2 linked regions of the Canis lupus familiaris genome follow. The protein of the gene in region 2 binds, or shares a complex with, the protein of the main gene of each other region. Links are inferred from orthologs where the notes say so. Each region holds a gene or a part of one and is shown on either strand. Other genes may lie near its edges. The genes, in order: P2RX4 and AP2M1.

The links.
Region 1: the proteins of AP2M1 (region 2) and P2RX4 are in contact, whole or in part, in a crystal structure (PDB 2BP5), measured with the Rattus norvegicus proteins. The link is inferred for Canis lupus familiaris from reciprocal best matches to the Homo sapiens genes AP2M1 and P2RX4. Residues at the interface, in NP_446289.1 of Rattus norvegicus: Phe174, Leu175, Asp176, Lys203, Asn217, Leu316, Ala317, Gln318, Lys319, Glu391, Val392, Pro393, Lys400, Val401, Arg402, Tyr403, Leu404, Ile419, Lys420, Trp421, Val422, Arg423, Tyr424, Ile425; in NP_113782.2 of Rattus norvegicus: Val375, Glu376, Asp377, Tyr378, Glu379, Gln380, Gly381, Leu382, Ser383, Gly384.

What each region holds. Positions count from the first base shown.
Region 1 is NC_049247.1:8,126,533-8,136,474, forward strand, and holds the end of P2RX4 (P2X purinoceptor 4), read right to left. Parts: intron 8,812-9,942; coding exon 8,731-8,811; intron 8,630-8,730; coding exon 8,488-8,629; intron 8,389-8,487; coding exon 8,252-8,388; intron 5,841-8,251; coding exon 5,747-5,840; intron 5,605-5,746; coding exon 5,539-5,604; intron 5,162-5,538; coding exon 5,066-5,161; intron 4,572-5,065; coding exon 4,545-4,571; 3' UTR 4,027-4,544; downstream 1-4,026. UniProt on the Homo sapiens protein: ATP-gated nonselective transmembrane cation channel permeable to potassium, sodium and calcium. CTP, but not GTP or UTP, functions as a weak affinity agonist for P2RX4.
Region 2 is NC_049255.1:17,238,893-17,249,627, reverse strand, and holds the start of AP2M1 (AP-2 complex subunit mu), read right to left. Parts: upstream 6,794-10,735; 5' UTR 6,675-6,793; intron 4,632-6,674; 5' UTR 4,589-4,631; coding exon 4,515-4,588; intron 2,612-4,514; coding exon 2,346-2,611; intron 1,597-2,345; coding exon 1,514-1,596; intron 1,113-1,513; coding exon 1,107-1,112; intron 904-1,106; coding exon 768-903; intron 681-767; coding exon 539-680; intron 102-538; coding exon 1-101. Other genes in the region: DVL3 (segment polarity protein dishevelled homolog DVL-3), read right to left, coding at 9,565-9,596, 10,460-10,735.

The sequences.
Region 1 (9,942 bases), on a different chromosome or scaffold from region 2:
GGAAATACTCTGATGCGATGGAGACACAAATGCTCCTCCTTACGGGTAAAGCCCTATTGGGATCTACACAGTCACTTTGGGGCACCCTTTTAGAGAAGGTGGTTGAAACCTAGAGCAGTCCTCAGGGCCCAGGAGAACCAGGGCTTGGCACAGGGAGTTGTGTTTTGTAAGCCAAAGGTCCAGACAGAAAAGGCTTTACCTTTTTGGGTTCCATCTCAGACTGGGAAGTTTCATTGAAGTTAAGTGTGACTTCTTTCCGGAGCCACAGATGGCTGAGCAGAGTTCAGGGGGGAGGAGAACAGGAAGGCCTCTGCCCTGGGAGATTCCCGGTGCTGTGGACTCCAGCTTGGGGGAAATGGTGTCAGTAACTGGCCTTGGAGGACATGCTTGCCTGTAGTTTCTGATCATCATTGGCAGGAGGATCTTCTGCAGAGAGACAGCAGAGCAAGACCTCGTGCCCCCGCCACCCAGAGCATTCACAGAACCTGGGTGTTCCTGGCTTCCACAGATCTTTGTAAGCTCTTGACTGTCATTTAGCTCAACTTCTCTTGCTATTTTATAAACAGTATAGAATTAGGGGATGCTGGTTTCCAAGAGCAAAGGACAGCCGTCAAGATGGAGGGTTGTCTGGCCTGCTTTCTTTTTGTGACCTGGTACTTCCTCTTGCATTCCTGCGCTTGTTTATATTTATGGGCACCACCCCTTCTGGAAGCAGCTGGGGTCTGGTTAGTTTGCAATAAGCACCTTGCAGTAGTTAGAGTCCTTAGTCCCCGCCTGTCTGTGTGGACTCTGGTCTGGCCGAGTGGCTCGCCCAGGGCGGGCTGACAGCATGCGGAGCTTCTGCAGAAATCCTGTTTACACAGTTGCATCGGGTAAGAACATTTCTTCTGCCACAGAACTCCCCACTTAAGGTTTCCTGTGTGGAATGTCGGCTGTTTAGGTGGGTGGGTTCATAACTTTTTTTCAAAGAAACACCAAAGAAAGCTGTGTGAAGGAAGCGCCACCCCCCAAAAAGGATAAGCTGAGGGCTGTACCATCATGCGGTAGAGTTACCATTTTCTTGGAGCACAAACGTTGGCTTTTGAGAAGCTGGCTCTGTCAGGAAGGGGGAGAAGCCATCATGGGCAGCTTTCCCAGGTGAGCAAAAGGGGTGCCCTGGCAGTTTCTTCCATTGTTGGCTCATCTGTGGGACCAACTTGGTGTAAGCAACCTGGGGCCTGCACAGGTTCTTGCCCCAACATCCTCTGTCCTGCTCCACTTCTACCATCTCTTCCACAGCCCTCCCAGGGGCTCCGAGAAAGCCTTAGCTAGCCCCTTGACGGCCCTGGGGGCTGGAGAGGCTGTCTCCCCAGTGGTCTGGCTTTCCTGTGAGTTAGGGCTCCCACCCTTTCTGGAACAAAGAGGCAAACACCTGAGCATTGAAGTGGGCTCAACCTGTTGCTCTCACTCATCTTCCAAAGCAGAGCTTCCTATTGCTGGGGGGAAGAACTATGACCTCCACTTGTTTCCAAGGTGCTAGAGAAGGTTTCAAGGTCGTCAGTTCCCATCCTCTTTGCAGCTTTATGGGCCGAGTTTCGCAGAACTGCTAACTTTTCTATTCTGTGTCTGATTTAATGCCCGATGCTTCTGTTTTATTCCTGATCCTTTCTACTATGCATTTTCCTTTTATCAGGTGTACAAAGTTAAATACTGTGTATTTATCACTTAAAAGTACATGAATTTAAGAGAAAAATAAGCCTTTGGTGTTTTTCCACAGATGTTTAAGCTTCTCTGTAAACTTGAAATAAACAGCAAAATGGTGCAAAGCCTAGGCCTTTTGGGGATATTTTTGCTGGTCATTGTTTATAGATATCTCTAGGACATCCATCCTTATGTCTGTTTTTCTTCCTTTGTGAGATCAGATGTCCACGTCAGTATAACATATTCAGCATTATATTATTCATTGTCAGTGTAACCATGTCCTAGTATCCTGCTACTGAAAGTGTGGTCCCTGGACTGGGAGTGTTAGCATCTCCTGGGAGTGGGGTGGAAATGCAAGTTCCCAGACCCCATTTAAAGAAGATCCCCAGGTAACTTGTGTGCCCACTGAAGTCTGAGAAGCACTGTTTTAGCAGGCAGGTAATTGCTAGTTCTTCTTTGGAGACCAACCAGGTGAGCAGCTACGGGAGCAATATTAATTACACATGGAACACATCCTGCGAGCAGGCATGTTCTAGGACACATCACCCCACAAGGTAGGTATTTATCCCATCTTATGGATTATTACCTGCAAAGTGAAGCTCAGGAAAGTGAAGTCAGTTGTCCAAGGGCTCCAACTTTGATAGCAAATGCAGTGTTCTACAGAGCTTGGACAGTTGCAGGTTGGTTTGTTTTAGTTTTATTTATTTATGAGAGACACAGAGAGGCAAAGACATTGGCAGAGAGAGAAGTAGTCTCCCTGGGTGAGAAGCCCATGCAGGACTCGATCCTAGGACCCAAGGATCATGACCTGAGCCAAAGGCAGATGCTCTACCACTGAGCCACCCAGGTGCCCCAGTTGCAGGTTTTCATGGCATTTGGAGACTTAGAACTGATGCGTCCTTCAGGCTAGAGGCTGGGGGTTCCCTGCACTCCAAACGTGAATCTAGCCCATGACATTGCTTTATTGGCTTTGAGCTCAGGTTTTTTGGTAAAAGGGATGGCAGATGAAGTCTGAAAGCTCCTTGTTCTGTTGTTGCAGAAATGTAACATTGGAATACTGGTCTTTAAGAGTCAAGAGCAGGTGTTCCTATCCAAAGACTCCACTGAGAATTGAATGAAAGCTCTAAGACATGCAGACAGGTGCATCACTTTGCAGAGTTTAGGAATTCCAGAGACTGGAAATCTGTCCATGGGTGCAAAGGTGAAGGACCCCTACTTAAGCAGCAGCCTGGGGAATGCCAGCCAGTGGGAATATAGCTGAATGGTGAGTAAAATAAGCAATCCTTTCCCCATCCTGCACCCCAGCTGGCCTGAGCATTACATTTGAGAAAAAAGGAGGCCAAGAGAAGTCTCCCCCACTCTGTTAACTATCACTTCTTAGCCTGCCAGATGAAAAACTGTCCCTAAAAAATTCCAGCTCCACTTGATCCATGTGTTTCAAGCAGGCTTTTTTTTTTTTTTTTCTTTCTTTCAAAAAGGCAGCACGGGGGTTCCTGGGTAGCTCAGTGGTAGAGAGTCTGCCTTTGGCTCAGGTTGTGATCTCGGGGTCCTGGGATTGAGTCTTGCGTTAGGCTCCCTGCAGGAGTATGCTTCTCTCTCTGCCTATGTCTCTGCCTCTCTCTGTTGTCTCTCGTGAATAAATAAAATCTTTAAAAAGAAAAAGGCAGCACAAGCCAGAGCTTTTTCAAAGGGGTTTGTTAAATGTTTGTTTTGTTTTTGCCCCCCCCCCCCCCGCCCCGAAGCAAGAAAAGCCCAGTTTTATCCAGCAGAAGCAGGCACTTCTAAAATAAACGTTCCCTTTAGTACTTGGAAATGAATTCGTGATATGGGGGGGAGGGGGGAGACAAGCAGCTCCTGAAGACTTGTTGCAGAATTAAGTCGGTGTGAAGGCATAGCTAGAAATAACTTTATTAACATTTCAAAGTAGGTGTAGGTGGTGCTGCTTGTAGCTGGAGACTTCTGGAAAGCAAGTGGGGAGGGGGGGGAGGATAAGCCATGTTCTTGTTACCTAAAATTGTGTCCTCCATAGTGTAGTGTCACAATTATAGGTAAAAAAAAACAAAAACAAAAACAAAAACCAAAAAAACCGCATGTGCGGGTAAGACAAGTAGTCACCACGGTACAAAATCTTGCAAATTCTGTAGGAACACAACAACCTCAGAAAGATCAAAATTCTTAAGGCCTTCAAGAGAAGGTCAAGTCAGGGGAAAAACACCTAAGCTCCAAAGACAGACTCAAGAAGTTTTTTTCTGAACACCGTGAACTGGGACAACAGATGGGTTTACGGGTTGAAGTAAAAGAGAAGGGAGGAAAATTCTAGTTACATGCTATGAAACCAGGCAGAGATTGAGAAAATCATTTTAATGTTTGGTCCTCGACCACATCAATATGCCTCTTCTTTCAGAGGATATACAGACTCTGTCTTGTGACAGCATGGATGGGGGAGGGAAGCAGCAGCCCAGGTGTGCTCAAGGTCTAGTGACCACACCTAGCTGTCCTTCCTTCCCTTGTAAAGTGCTTGAACAAGGCTGCCTGACCACAGCTGGGCCTGTCTTGCAGGGAGCTGGAGCTGGGAGCCCCTGAGGAAGGCTGGCCCTAGGTGAGGCCCCAGCCCCTGCAGTGGCAGTAGCACTCACCACTGCCCTTGGGCCAGAGGTCACCTGAACATCCCCAAGTTGAGGCAACCCACTGTGCAGGGTGGTTTACTCTGCACATCCTACACACAAAACAGCTGGGTGACCATGATGTCCTTGTGCAATGGAGATGGACTCAGACTCTGGAACCTTCCCTGAGGTGACATAGCAGCCTTTTCTCCGTGCTGTGCTCTGATGAGGACTGTGGGGAGCCCAGGTATGGAGTAAGCATCACTGGTCCATCTCTCCACCAAGACCCTGCAAAGGACGATATGCTTATCATTGACTGATATGCTTATGGATAAATGTGTACCCACCATGTGCTGCCCACAGGTAAGCCTGGACCATTCAGGGCAGGTGTGAGCCAGGACTTTTGGGCAGTTCTTCACAACTGAACATATACAGGTTAGTCCTAGTGCAGGGGGTCTCAAAGCGTGGGACCCAACCCCTCTTGCTATGCGAGGCAAGTTCAAGTAGTGTGGGGTTTTGTCATAATATTCATTATCATAACTAACCTGAGATGTCACTAATTAAAATGAGGTTAGATTTTAAAGAGTGACGGTCTAGAAGTGGAGCAGAGAATGAGTGGTGTGCAGCCGCCTGGGCTGACCACAGGCCCAAATAGCACCACCTTTGTGCTCGGGCCTCCCCTAGTTGGCCCAGTACTCAGGGTGCTCACCACTGGTACAAAAAAGGTGGAGGAGGCAGGTGTTTGGGCCTTCCTGCCTTCTAGAGTTCAGGAGGTGGCCTACCTGCTCATAATCCTCCACATACTTATATTTCTTCTCCCGGTAGTAGTATCTTTTCTTCATGCAGTAGAGGACAATGATGTCACATAGCACTGTTGCCTGAGTGTGACACAGGGCAAGAAAGAATGAGCCAAGATGCTTTAGTTTATTATTCTATGCATGCCCCTTCCCAAAAAGCCTGGAATCTTTCAAAGAAAGGAAAGGCTTCAAATAAATAAATAAATAAATAAAAAATAAAGAAAGGAAAGGCTTCACCTCTCAGGAGAAGGCAAGGCCCAGAGAGCTGTGGTGTTGGAGAAGGGAAGGTGAGGTGAGGTGGCAGCAAGGGCAACAAGCCTGGAGGGTCAATTCTAGAAAAGAGTTTAGGGACAAGGGGAAGAACCCGGATGCCAGTGGAGGGGCTCATCTTGCTGTGCTAACTACTGCTGAGGAGGGCTCCAGGCCCCGGGGGTGAAGGAGCAGGCTAAGTCACTCACCACCCCTAAGAGCGCCAAACCAGAGCCGATGTTGATCATGGTGGGGATGATGTCAAATTTCCCAGCCTACAAATGACAGGAGAAAAAGAAAAAGTTGCAATAGAGGACATAAGCAGGTAAAAGGTGAGGGAGGGGGCCCCTCGTCCCTGGCCAACCCAGAAGCCTAGGTTTGGACCAGAGCCCTGACAGGAGCAGGAGGCCAGGCTACCTTTCCGAACACTATGATGTCGAAGCGGATGCCGTAGGCCTTGATGAGCGTGCGGCGCTCAGCACCAGTCAGGTCACTGTAGTACTTGGCAAACCTAGGGAAAGGAGGATGGAAAAAAAAAAAAAAAAAAGAAAGGAGGATGGGTTAAAGGCAGAAGGCACAGGGCAGAGACAGACAGGTGGCTGGATCCACCCTCTGGGTCTCGGGTGGGGGACATTAGAGCAAAACTCCCGGAGGCCCTCTGGAGCCAGCACTACCCGCTGGACAGATGATACCTGAGCATCTGGGGCAACCCCCGGCCATTGTGGGTCACACAGTGTGATAACTGGGCTGTTGGCAGGAGGATGCCAGAAAAACTTTTTTAACATCACTGTTGCCTCCTATGGCTGAGCCAGAACCTCTCACGCTGAATATCCTCCATATCAGAGCTGAGTCGCCTACCTGTCTGAAGGAGATCCTGGCTACTAACAGAATGTGGCCAGGCAGCAGCAAACTCCAGGACTGCCTGTGGGCAGGGGCATGGAGCCGGCCATGAAACTCCACAGAACTCACAGACTCAGCACTGGACTTTCTTTTAAAAGACCCATTGACCCATCAATGGATAAATGAATAAAATGTGGCATATCCATATAATGGAACACAATTTGGCTGTAAAGAGAGATAAAGTAATGATAAATGCTACAACATGGATGAACCTAAAAAAAAAAAAAAACCAAAACAACATGATACAGAGTGAAAGGAGCAAGTCACACACCGTGTGGCTCCATTTATATGCAGGTCCAGAGAGACAGGAAGTAGACAGTGGTTGGCAGGGACAGAGGTTGACGGGAGGATACCGGGGATGGCTGAAGGGTATGCGGTTTCTCACTGAGGTGATGAAATGTTCTACAATTGTGATAGTCCTACAGCTTCATGGCTAAAAACGATCTAATCCCTTACTTTAAGTGGATGAACTATGTGGTATGTGACCTATATCTCAATAAAGCCATTGAAAAAACCCCACAAGGGGGAGTGGTGATGGTGGTGAGCACTGTTGAACCATGAAACCATTTGCTGCCCGTGTTAAATAGGACACTGGTTCAGAGAAGCCTAAACTCTTGGCCTGCAACGGTCTGGCCCAGAGCCTCCACATCCTGGTCGGGCCTGGGGAATTCAGGTGGGGCCTGATGATAGCGGAGGTCAGATGCATGGGTGCCCTTCTGGTGAGGGCCCCCATCAGCTTCTCTCTGTCCTGAAGTTCTGACCCACGCTTGAGGTTTTCCTCAATAGTTTCTAAACTGTAACAGTAGAGAGAGAGCAACACACATCTAATTCCTTTCCTAGGAAAATTCAAATATCTCTCCTAGTATCAGTGAGCCAGATGGGTCAAAATGATAGCAGACTGCATTTCTGGACAGTCTTATGATCCCTTGTGTCTTTGATTGTACATGTCACCACTAGAGGGAGACAAGGGCAACACAAAAGCGCCTCAGACCTACTCAGGTGGCCCCTGGAAGGGCTGCTTTGTTTAAGAGTGGTAAAATGTGCAAAAGAGGCCACAGAGGGCACATGAAAATGTACATGGCTACAGGTTTTGCCACCTCATGGAAGTGGCAAACCTGGCCTTGGCCCCTTGTCCCCTCCATCAAATTACTAGCTATACCAGGCTGAACACCATCACCCAAGATTTGTGTCCACCTGAAACCTGTGAATGTGAAGTGGAAGTAGGGAAATCAGGTCTTTGTGGATGGAGTGAGTTAAGGTGAGCTCATATTGGATTAGCTTGGATTCTGATTCAATATGGCTGGTGTCCCTATGAGGAGAGGACACACAGAGCTGCGCAGAGGGAAGAAGGCCATGTGACAACAGTGGCAGAGACAGGAGTTATGGGTGTATAAGGCAAGGAACACCGAACATTGCAAGGAGCCGCCAGAACCGGAGGAGGCAAAGAAGGTGGCTGGCCTTGTGGACACCTTGATTTTGGGCCTCTGGCCTCCAGATCTGTGAGAGAGAGTACCTTCCTGTTGTTTCAAGCCACCCACTTTGTGGTAATTTGTTAAGGCAGCCCCAGAACACTAATATATGGTACTCTGAGCAGGGAAATAGCAGTGAAGGCCTTTCCTGAGGCTTAAACCTGTATCCCCAGTACCCTGGAGATTCCAGGGCAGGCTCGGTCTTTGAGAAATTAATTCCTCACCCACTCTTCAGAATCAGTGAGCCAGTCCTACCTGAGGTTGGCCCTGGGAAGCTCAAGTAGCCAGCCTCTCTTGGCTGCTCTGCATATTATCTCAACATGATTTCTGAGATAAGGAGGGGCACAGGGGGCTCTTAGGGGCCAGGATACTGCCAGCACAAGGCTCTGCTTGAACACTCTCCCTGGCATACAGCCTTCCCACCTGTCCTTGGGGGACCGAATGAGTGCTGGTCTTGATGGGTATGGACCATCGTGGATGGGGACCAGGGAGTGATCCAGCTGCCGTCACCCCCCCCCCCCCCAAGAGAACTGGGACCTAAGCTCACACCTACCTGAAATTGTAACCAGGGGACACATTGTGGTCCACATCCCGGGTGTCCAGGCGGCGGAAGGAGTACCTGGGCAGGCAGAGGGAGGAGGTTCTGTCCAGGTTGCAGTTCCAGTTGATCTGAATGCCCATGATGCCTCCCTGTGGGGTGTGAGCAGAGACAGAGCAAGGTTTCCTCAAGGCCCATTCTAGAATGAGAGGTGTTGAAGACTGTCAGAAAATCCAGGGGCCTGTGTCTACCTCGATGGCCATGTCTTGGAAGCTGTGCCCTGCGCTCTCCACTATTTTGCCAAGACGGAATATGGGGCAGAAGGGATCTGTTACAGCATCATAAATGCACGATTTGAGGTAGGTTGTAGTGATGTTCGGAAGAATATTCCTCCTAAAGTCAGGAAGAAGCAGAAATGAAACGAAGAAAACCTCCAAGTAGAGTCAGAAGTTACTCTAAAACTCTGTGAACTCACATGGCTGGCCACCACTTACTTGCTGAAATTAAATTTGGGATACCAGATGTTGTTCTTAACCAAAAGAGTGAAGTTTTCTGCAGCCTTTAGAAAAGCAGGTCTGAAAAAAAAATCATAGCATATTGTTAATAGAAGTACAAATATACATATACTCCCATTCTTACGTAATATTTTTTTAAATTTTTTTTAAATTTTTATTTATTTATGATAGTCACAGAGAGAGAGAGAGAGGCGCAGAGACACAGGCAGAGGGAGAAGCAGGCTCCATGCACCAGGAGCCCGATGTGGGATTCGATCCCGGGTCTCCAGGATCGCGCCCTGGGCCAAAGGCAGGCGCCAAACCGCTGCGCCACCCAGGGATCCCCTTACGTAATATTTTTAAGAAGCATATGCACATGTGCCTTACAATGTCATTTTGTCAAGAAAAAAAGTGAAACACCTCAAGCATTTTTTACTGTCCTCTGCATAAACACTAGATCAGCAGAGACTAAACCAAGCCTTTCCATTTCTTCCTCTCTTGCCTCTTGCAGAAGGCAGGGGGAATTTAAGAGCTTGAGGAATAGTTAAGGAGGGTGATGCCTAGAGGCTTCCTGGGAAACTATTCAGCCTGTAGCTGTGGGGTTTCAGAGCTCGCTTCCCTAAGGCATTCTCCATTCTCCCTGGGAATGCTCTACAGATCTGGTTTTACAAGTAAAGCAAAGGTAAATTCACTGAGAAGGTAAATCCTGACCTCATCTCAAAAGTACATAGAAGTCACGTGTCTGCTGGCACAGGGCCTCGGCTCTCAAGTGCCACGTCAGCTCCTGGCTGACAGTACAAGTTGAATCTGTCTCCAAGGGGACACCACATCTTTGATGGGTTTCTACAGGAGAATCCAGTGCTGTAGGCAAGCTCCTTTGAGTGTGTTCCCCTGATCCAGGTGGAATCTTTGAGTTTATAAACTGTATCAATAGTCTACTCAACCCTGAGACACAGCAAAGAGAGCCGAATCTGTCACTGCTGATGACAAGGAAGGCCTTGACCAAGGCACTTTCCCCAGGGCTTCAAACTCCCTCATCTCTGGATCAAGAGGGATGCATTGTATCAGGGATTTCTGAACTTTCCCTCCACATCTGTTCATCTCATATGCAATACTTTTTTAAAAAAAAAAAGATTTTATTTTTAAGTAATCTCTACACCCAGTGTGGGGGCTCAAACTCCTAATCCTAAAATCAAGAGTCACATGCTCTAC
Region 2 (10,735 bases):
CATCTGGTGGGATGAAGCTGATGCTGCGTTCAGAGTCAAACTTGCTGAGTCGCACACACTGGTGGAAGGTGCAGTCATCGATGGCAATTGATTGCTTTCCACTGTGAGCAGGGGCAGAAGGTCTCCTCGTTGGTACGAGAGAGTTGGGCTGGGAAGCTATCCCAATGCAGCTTTCTGCCTCAGGGTTCCCTGATGCTGACTTAGGGATAAGTGTGAGCTTTGTAAGCTCACCACCTCTGGAGAACTCTGCTGCTTGGGACCCAGAGGTTTCAGGCACACTGGGGAGAGGCCATCAGTATATATAAAACAGTCTCAGTCCTGGGGATCAAACAAAGGGCCTACCTACTCCTTAAGATGAGGACAATCCTCTCATCTCTCTTAAGCACAGATGTCAAAAGCAACTAGCCAAGCACACCCTTGGAAAGTGGGAGTTTGCATTACTGCAGAAATGATAATCCTGAAGGAACCTGTGATTCACCAGGCCCCACAGAGCCCTCCAAGGTCTACCCTCTCCCACCAGCAACCCTGCCTCAGGCACCTCTTGCTTGTTTCATCAGCTGTGCCTTTGCCTTGCTTCTCAATGACAATCTTGTCATTCATCCCAAACTTGCATTCAGGCATGCCACTCAGGTAGCTCTTCATCACCACCCGGCCTGACACATGGGCACTCAGCACCTGCCCTGGGGATAGACATGGGAACATCTGAGTTAGGACGAGGATCCTGCCCTGGTCCTGCCCCTCCAGCTTCATCACGAGAGGGCTCTCACCCTGTGGGGACATGAGGAGGTTCACACTTTCCAGCACATCCAAAAAGAGCTCATTCCGGCGATACTTGATGCCCTCCCGCCGCCAGCCAATCTGCCCAGTCACCTGGCTGGTGATCTGGGATTGCTCTTCTTTTGTCTACACAGAGGGGACAGAGAAAAACACTAATGGCCTCATTGCTCTCCACCTTCAATGATCCCGTCTCTGTCCCTACTCCACTCTCACTCCCCCTCCCTTCTAGTCCCCATCCTGTAACTCATCTCTTTCATAAGCTCCATGAAGCAGGGCCCGAAGAAAACTGGATCAAAGCTGTAAAGGTAGAAGCTGAGGGAACAGCTTACCTGATGCTGGAGGCCAAAGGGCCAATGTGATGCCAACCGGAAGCAGTAGGGGGACACAGACGGGAAGAGGCAGGCAGAAGAGAAGGAGAGGGCAGCTATAAGGCCTGTATCCTAGAGGAAGGCCCACGCTCTCTCCCCGAGGAACACCAGGCCTCCAGGGCAGCCCACACCCTTCCTTCCCCCAGTACAGAAGGAAACTGTTTGAACCCTATTCCCAGTAACAGAGATGCTGAGTCGGCTGCTCCTAGGGTGGAGGGCCACATGCAGCAAAATTGGCCTGCAATCACAGTAGAGGGCTCAGGCCTGTGCTTCCTGGTAGAGGCGGGCTCTTGAGTGAGCGGAGACAAGGCTAGGGGGAGCTTGAGGAGGATGGGCCCAACCCTTGCTGTGGCTATACAAGGGAGTACCTGGCTCTTGATACCCTGCTGAGTGATGAAGGTTTTCAGTGCTCCTGTCTCTGAATTCTGTGGATAGCCAAAGTCCAGGATCTCTGCAAAAGGAAGGGAACTATCAGCCCTGGAAAAAGCTGAAGGCTCCTTCAGTCCAATATCTCCCTTGGCCTGGACAAATCTGGCCAGCAGAGCTCTAGAAGAGTGTGGGATCATCTGCAGCAATGTCCTCTAGCTTTGTAGCATTTACTTTGAGATTTGTGCTTCATAAGACAACAATTAAAACATCAGATATTTTTCACAGAGAAAATGAGCAGAAGAATCTTATGGCCAGTGGGTGAGAGATCAAGAAGCTCTGAGTCCTTAGAAAACAAACAGACCCTGGGAAGGTAGAAAGACTCTGTTCCTTTCAATCATACCCTACAAAGGAACAAAGATAATGCAACCCCAGAAGCCGGTCATATCTCAACCTCCTTCAGGCTCTGAGGCAGAGCCTGTTGAGATAGAAAGCTGGAAGGACAGTCAGTGAACTAAGGCCCAAACTACAAAGGTAAGAAGGAAACATGCTTAACTGTAGGAGGTCCAGCTACCAAGCCCCAGATAGGTTCCTAGCCCCCTGAAAAATCTTTTGGTTCTCTGCCCCCTCTCCCCACCTCCACTCACTATTTCTTCTACTTCAGAGCTTCTTTTGGGGCTGAATTTAGACTGGCCTTTTCAGGGCTCAAAAGAGCAGATATTCAGGAAAGAAAGTTGAGAGGGCACTGGAGGGAACCTCACAAGTGCTCCTACCTCCAGGCTAGGCCCCATCAGGTTCATCCCCACCCTAGGCCCACCGCCCTGCCAGCCTCACCATCCAGTAGCTCATATATGAGCACAAAATTGTTCTTGATGTTCTCCTCGCTGATCTTGCCAAAGTAGGCAGCCATTACATCACACATCTTATAGAGGAATTCGAAGACCATGGCAGCATTGACATTTTGCTTGGTGACAGCTGCCAACCAGATGTTGGACCGCTTAACATGGAAGAAACTGGTGCGAGCGATGTTGGTGACGGGGCTGCGCACCTGCTGCCGGGCGTGGATAACATTGACTCGAAAGGCATCCACTGCATTCCTCCTAAGGGAAAAGAGTACACAGGGGCTGCTCAGCACCCAGGCAAACCCCACTCCATGGGGATCAACCACAGCTGCTAACAACTTTTCATCCCTTCACTGCTTAAGTCTGACACGTACTATGAATCTGAAGCCAAAGCCTAAACTACTGGGGCAGTTCCCTTGTGGCTCCCAGCATGGGAATAGGACCAGAGCTGGGCTGGTGTCTGAAGGCCACCAGAGACAGGTAAGTCAGGTGGGAATGACAGGAGAACAGGTATAGTGTTAATAAAGTGAAGTCCATCACACTTAAGGAGGCATGTTCCTGATGCTGAGGCCTGAGGCCTGCTGAGGTCCCAATTTCCCAGCTGCCACCTCTCCAGCTTCTCAGTAAGCTCGAGGCCCAAATGACAAAGACAACTTGCTTGTTCTTCAGTTCTCCCACTTGTGATCCCACCAGTGGGAGGTCTGGCTCTTCTAGAAGTGAGGCAAAGCCAGCATAACTTCAGAGTAGGCTCTAATCTAATCTAAGGAAGAAGCACCAAGGGGCCATGGAGCTGGGCCATTTGTTCCCGTCCAGGATCCAATTCCAGGACAAGTTCAGGGAATGAAAACAGACAAAGAAAACAATGATGGGGGGCAGGGCCCCCCACCCACCTGTGCCTGGGCGGCAGCTTGACAGGCTGCTTACCTATTGCTACGGCAGCCAATGAGATGGGATGAGAGAAATGACGCCAGCAAGAAGAGGAGAGTGACAGCAACGAGAGAGAGGATTAGACACACAACATCCTGGGGTAGGCTGCACACACCATGAAGTGGAAGCAGACGAGCAAGAGGCAAGGGGTGGAAAGCATAGCAAGTCATGCAAGACAGTAGGTGCCCTGGCTTAAGCAGGTCCATCCAGGGCAGGCAGGAGGGGGTGTGGATGGGTATAGCCAGCCAGGTTCAGGCAAGCCAGGCACTGCCACAACTCTAGTTCATGCCCTACCACCAGCCAATGGACAAACAGCCACAAAGGCCAGGCCAGCCCACTAGCCAGGGAGCTGGGAGCCAAGAAGCTATTGGGCTCTGCAGCAGGCCCATCCTATAACTCTTTAACCTAAGCTCTTGGAGGAAGAAAAACAGGGCAGCATGAACCAGAGATGCCTAATCTCATTAGAGCTGCTGAGGCTAGGACATGTCCTCTCATTCAGGAAAGAATAGTGGCATGCAGTGTGGGGCAGAGTGAGAAGGCAGGCTGTGTCTCTTTGCTAAGGTCTGAGGGACCTAGAACAAGGAGCTATTCCGGGTCTACTCTGGTAGGCCAGGAAGGGCAGCATGGCCTCCCTGCCCTTCCTTCAGTGACCCGGAGAGTGCCCCAAGCTTGCTCACAACCTCTCTTCTAGGAGTGGCCCAGAGGAACTGAAAACAGCTGAGTCAGCAGCCTGCCTCCTCCTGAGAAAGGGAGTAGGAGAGGATTTGGCAGCCTGGAGAAGCTTTCAAGAGAATTCAGTGAAGGCTCTCACCGTGAGAAGGGCTTTTGAGAGCAAGACTTAGATGGACTAGTACCACTAGCCTGTCCACTAACTTCACCCCCTGGAGAAAGATCTCCCTCCTCCTCAAGGGAGGAATTCATCTACCAGGGCAAAAGCACTCATTTCTAGCAACTAGGTCTGTCACTAAGGAAAGGAGAAGGCAGGAAGGACAAGAGTTCCTAAGACTGTGGGGGGCCACACCATTCCACAGGTCCCACCTATTGGCCAATAACTGGCTGCCAGGCCAATACCACCAGACCTAATGGGAACCAGATTGTATTAGCTGAGCTTCTAAGATGCAGCGAGGGATGGGGGTGGCCAAAGTCCAGTCTCTGGTAGGAACGGACCTGGTCCTGCATGCTGGGGAGGAGGGATGAGGGGTGGGGACACAGCTGGCTCAGCCAGGGGACTCACCCGATGTCATCTCGGTAGACCCGGGAGATGAGCACCTCCCCCTTGTGATTATAGATGAATAAGCCTCCAATCATGGCGGCAGCTCAGTCTCCAAGGCCCATCGCTCTGAGAACAGACCTAGGACAGGCGGAGGCAGGGTAAGGGAAGGCCTCAGAACCTCTGCCAACATCCCCTGTGGGGCTGTGCAGGTCACTGGCTGGGCTTTTTTTCCTGACTCAACCCTCCAGTAAGTGACCCTGAAGCCCTCCCCAGGCATGCCCCTCCCCTTAGCCAGGCTCCAGTTCCTGTTTATCTCACACTGGAAAGGAGAAAGAAATGGAGAGGGACTTGGGCCCAGGATTCTAAGGCCATTTTGACCCTCCCTTTCCTGGGGCTGAGCCCAGAGTGTAGCCCCCTCCCCCTCTTTTCAGTGCTGAGCTCAGCACAGATCCTTTTTGGCCCCTTCCTGTGCAGACTCTCACTCAGACTCTAGCCGGTGAGTCACTGGGAAGGCCTGCCTGCGGCTGCAGGAATGGCGGTAGGAATTATTCCACTTGGTTCAGGCCTGGGGCCCCCAGGCACGGCTTTAGGAGCACCCGGTCTCTCAGGCTCCACTAACCCTTCGGAGAAGACAGCAGGGCCTGAACCTGTGGCTCTCTAATTCACAGAAGTCTAAACATTCCAGGAAAGGGTGTGCAGGGTGTGGGGAGGAGACAAGGGAGGCCTTAGGCCCTGACACAGACCCTGGAGTGTGGCTCCAACCAATCCCAGGCAGTCAGATAAGCAGGCAAAAGAGCAGAGGAGAAAGGGCCCAGCCTTGGCCGACTACACTTCAATGACCCAAGCTGCTTATTAGTTATTTTTAACCACCTCCCTTTCAAAAAGGGAGGATCCCTCTCAGTTCCCAAGTGCAGTAAAAATAAGGGGGTGGGAGTACAGGTTTATAAAACACAAAGATCAATCCAGCTGACATTCTATGATTCCAGAACCATGACATAACTCATTTCTGGCCTGAGTACCTATAAGGAAGGGGCAGAGAATAGGTGTGCATTATCCAAATTATTTGGGTCAAAATATTTGCAAGGAGAAAAAGGGTTAATTTAATTCTAGATTTCCTGAATTAGCTCTGGTATTGATTTTACAGGGCAGAGGGAGTTTAGCAGACTTTTCTAAACTGGAAAATAAAGCCCTATTACTGAGGCCATCAGGGTCTCCCCAACTCAGTGAGAGGTCTCTCAAGGTGGTGGTGGACACATTCCACCCCAGAGTCCCAAAAAAGGCTGGGAAAGGAAATGAAAAATGGGAGGTAGAGCCCCGGGCAAAGAAGCAAGTTCACAGATATCAAGTGGTAGGGGCCGCAGGGCACCGAAGGAGCGGAGGTGGGGCCCAGGGCAGGAGGGGAATACTGAGCTAAGGGGAAGGACGGGCAGAAGGAGCCAGGCGGTCTAGTCAGGTGAACCTGCAGCAGCAAGAGGGCTGGGGCTGGGGGCTGGGGGGCGGGGGGGGGGACGGGGACATCTGGAGGAAGGAGTTTCCAGTGTGGCAAAGGTCAAGACTTTGAAACAGCAGGGAGGAGACTGACAAGTGGCGAATAGGGGAAAGCTGGGGCGGCGTTAACTTGCTTTAGGGTTCAAGTGTGGAGGCATGACGGGGGGTGGGCTCTTCGTCTAGGGGAGCAAGACATCGCGGGGATGAACATGGCTCCACGGGGCTGCGGGGGCTGTCACAGGTCTGAGGAAGAAGAGCCGAGGGGTGTCACTCAACTGGGGGGAGGGGGTGCGGCTGGTGGGAGGCCTGTCACAGCCCAGGGAGACGGCCCGAGGGGGTGTCACCGTCGAGGAGATGGGGGAATTGTCCTTGCGCTGGGAGGAGGCGGCGCCAAGGCACCAGGGGGGCTGTCACGATCCCGAGGAAGGGGGCGCCGCGCGGCATCCTGGCTCCGGGGGGACCCCAGGAGGTCTCCCTGTCACGGAAGGCGCCGGACTGCCGGTGGAGGGCGCCGCTCCCTGCCCACCCTGCAACCGCGCCCCGGGCGCCCCCGCCCCGCCGTCAGCTCCAGATCAGAAGGCTGAGGCCCCTCCCGGCTGTGGGCAGCTTTTCGCGCAGCGCAGTGCAGGGAAGGGCAAAGCTGGGTAGCGGGGTACGCGTTCTCCCTTACTCTCCGCCGGATTCCGAGCTTACCTGGCGTCCGCGGCCGCCTGCTCGGCCCGCCCGGCCACTCTCCAGATCCCAAGATGTCCGCCCGCCCCCTGCTCGCCAGCCCGCTGCCTCGGCTTTCACCGCAGTGCCGTGGCCCCGCCCCGAACACAGTTGCGCGTGCGCGTCCGGCGACCGAGCCGACTACAAATCCCGTCAGGCCCTTCGGCCTTCTAGCTTACAATTTTAGCCTTTCTAGGTTTAGGAAGACTACAACTACCGACTGCCTTCAGCGGGTTAGGCGTGCCTTGGGGAGGGATAGGCGTGGCCACATCCCATCATACTCCGCTCCACTCGCTTCATTTTCCCTACCGAGCATTCTGGGAATTGTAGTCTGCAATCCATCCTGTTCAGCGTCTAGGAGAGCTTCGGAGGATTAATGCCATTTGTTGAAGCCCATCTGTTAAGCTTGAGATTGCTGTAGGCCTTTTCCGTCTCTGGAGTCCGAACACTGGCTGTGCTCACTTTACACACACACACACACGACTTGGCAGAAGTGTTTGCACTAAATTTACTGCTTTCTAACACCAGCTCTGATTTTCCCAAGACTTTTCATCAAATATTTGTTCCAGATGTGAGCCTCTTCCCAGGGATCAAGACCCAAGTAAAAGGGCAAAGATGGAGGAGGCAAATACTTGTAAGAAACTAGCCAAAGCTTTTCAAGAATGTCTGTTCTATCCCAACTACACATACCTATGTGACCCCTTGAGGCCAGGACCTGTGTGCCTTCTAGTGATGGCATATATGTTGCTTAAAAAACTGCTGGCAAGTTTAGCTGGACATGGAACTTGAAATCCCTTCTCTAATGAACAGAGTTAATCTTCACACCCAAGCTGAGAAGAAAAGACAGAGCAAACCCTCAGATATGAAAGCCCTGCTTGACTTTTACAGGACCCGAAGAAAATGTTAGCTCTTCTCTTTCTGTACGGAGAGCTTCCCTTATGCCTTCACTGGTGCTGAGCCCATCATGGGAGGAAGGGCAAAAAAGGGCAAACCTGGTTACAAACCCTACTGTCCCAGCATCCTCCTGCTAGAAGCCAGAATGTGGCAGGATGAAGATCTGGCCTTCCTCAAACAGTGGTCACCATGTGAATCCATTAAGTGACTGAATACAGGCATTTCTAAATCTTGAACCGGCACTCAGATCTTCACTGCTACCTTTCCAAAAGCTTTATCTTCAATCAATAATACCCTACCAATTTAGAATAAATAATAATAGTAGTAGTAGTAATAATAATAGCTACCATTTATTGAGCACCTATTCTACTCTGTGCCAGGCACTGTGCTAGGCACTTTTCGTACAAGTCTAATTTAAATCCTCACAACAACCCTGTGAGGTAGGTATTATTATCATCATTTTACATATGAGGGAATTGAGGCTCAGAGAGATTAAGTAACTCTCTTATCACGAAACCAAAAAGTAGTAGAGCTGGGATTCAAGCCCAGAACAACCTGACTCCAAATCCCGTGCTCCTATGAATTAGGGTAGAGGCGGGGGGAGAAGAAGGACCATATTCAAGAAAGACTGTTGAAGTGGAATGGATATGATATGCTGACTAGTAAGAGTTGGGGAAGAATTTAAGTCCATAAATGTTCCTAGCTGGTATGCCTATGTAGACTGTGCTAAAGATCATCAGAGTTGGAATTAAGGAGGAACACACTTGATGGGGGAAATGAGTTGAGTCCATATAGATATGTCCATGGTGACGTCCAGTGGATAACACAGATCTAAAATTTGGAGAGAAGTTGTGGCTGGAGATAGGCATTTTAGAATCACCAGTGTATCAGTGGCAATTGAGGACATCAGGATAGATGACACCATTTGGGTAGTAAACTTAGAGGAAAGAGAAGTGAACCAAAGATGGAACACTGGGAGCACCAACATAGAAGGCATGAGCAATAGTGGAGGAATTCTCAAGGGAGTTGAACAAGGCAGAATCAGAAAAGGAAAAGTATAGGAACCAGTCCTGTAGTGGTGGGAGAAAGCCATGGCCTTGGTTGGGAGCAAATCTAGAGCTCCTAGAACGTAAGCAAGACTGAGTCATGCCTCCAACACAGCCCTTGGTCACCAAATACCCCAGGAAGTACTTGTTAAATGAATAAATGCCAAAATATCTCTACCCTGGTTTGCCCCAGAGCCTGGAGCTTAAGACTGAATCCTACTCTTGACACCCCAGTCCTAAAAATATAGATGCCTCAGTCAGCCAGGAGAATTTATAGAAGAGGCTTAAAGAGAAAGTCATGATTTGCTTAAACTGGAGAATAAGGTAAAAAATAAAACCTAGCATTCAGGATTCCCAAAAGTCCCCCTACCCAACCTTTCTCTGGGGTATCATAGTGATTGTGAAATCACAGAAGGTTGTGTGGGGTAAGGGGCAGGGTGAGAACAACCTGTCAGTTGCTTGGGAAGTCCTTTGCAGAGCCTAACCTGAGATCCAGCTTATGAGCTTTATCCAGGTAGGAGGATGATGGGGACATGTGTGGGAGGCTTGAGGGCTATAAGGGAGGGGACAGGGAAGTCGGGACCAGCCCTACGACCTGGGAGAGAGGGTCCGGCCCTCTGGGTAGGGACCAGCCCTGAGGCTTAAGTGAACTTGCGTAGGCACATGTGTGTATGTGTGTGTGTGAGAGAAAGAGAGAAAGAGAGAGAGAGAGAGAGAGAGAGAGAGAGAGAGAGAGAGAGATGGGGCACTCTCGGGAAAGGGGAACAGAGTCTCTCATACATGGGTGAGAGTTTGGAGCCCTCCACAAAAGCCTAGTGACTCAACATGTTGAAGTGTAGGTGTGGGAGCTGAACATCCTTGGGAAGCCCTGAGGGGCTGCTGAAGCAGGGCTTCTGGTCTCCTCGGAGGCTGGGCCTCCCTTTGCTGGGGGCTCACAGAAAGTCAAACAGCCCGAAATTCTTGGCTGCTCCAGGCCCAGGAAAAATTGAGGGAAGAGAAAAGAAAGAAAAGAAATGTTTCAGGCCCAGAGGTGAGATGAGCCTGGTTAGTAGGGTTAGGGGTCTGATGGAACCAGCACATACAGCAGGCATGGGGGAGTATGGATATAGGGGTAGAACAGTTATGCTTCCTGGAAGCTGCTAGCAGCTCAGGCAACTTAGGAGGCCTTTCTGGGCTTCTAGTAAAGGCTAGCACAGGCTGGGATAGTGTGGATGGTTACTGGAAGTGACCACAGCTCTAGGATGCAGCACTGAAGCAGTGGCTGGGGTGGAGTAGGGTGGGTTGGGCAGTTAGAGGGGGGGTGGATGAAGCAAGTATTTTTTGTTGTCAGTAGTGCAGGGAAAAAGTTAAGAGATTGGCACACATGCTGGAGGCGATGCGGTTAATGAAGGGTGGATGTAGCTGGAAGGAAAGGTGCGAGGTTCCTGAGGGGAGAAACGTGGGGATAAAGGGGTGAACAGGCCCTCAGGGGGTCTGCGGGGGTCAATTCTTGAAGTGTATGTGGGGAATAAGGAGCAGCACCAGCAAGTCGGGTCCCAGTGACATGAAGGGTCCTGGGAGTCCTGCGCAGCGGTTAGTGGGTAGAGGGACAAGCTGGGTCCGGTGGCAGGTTAGGGGCCGCAGCGGCAATTGGTGGGTGCACCCCGCCCTCACTGCGCCCAGCGAGCAGTTAGCGCGCCTGAATTTAGTTCAATTTATTTCCCTTTCAGGTACCAGACAAAGTAAAAAAGATGGACGGATGGAGAGAGGGACGCAGCCGCCCAGGTGTAGGGGTGGGACGGAAGTAGGGGAGGGGTCCTGTTCACATCACATCCACAAAGAACTCACTGGGGTTTCCCATGGCCATGCGGAAGGACTGTCTGCTGGCGGTCAGTTCAGGGGGCACGGAGGCCAGGTCGCGGCCCGGTGGGGCTCCTGGGGGCCCCATGGCCGCGGGCGGTGGGGGCATCATCAGCATTGGGGGACCGTAGAGAGGGGGTACGCCAGGGGGGCCGTAGCTCGGGTGCGTGTGGTGGCTGCGCAGGCTGCTGGCCATTGAGTGGTGGCTGCGGTGGCTATGCTCGCTGGCGGCAGGACCCGAGCGCTCGCTGGGTGCCCTTTCCC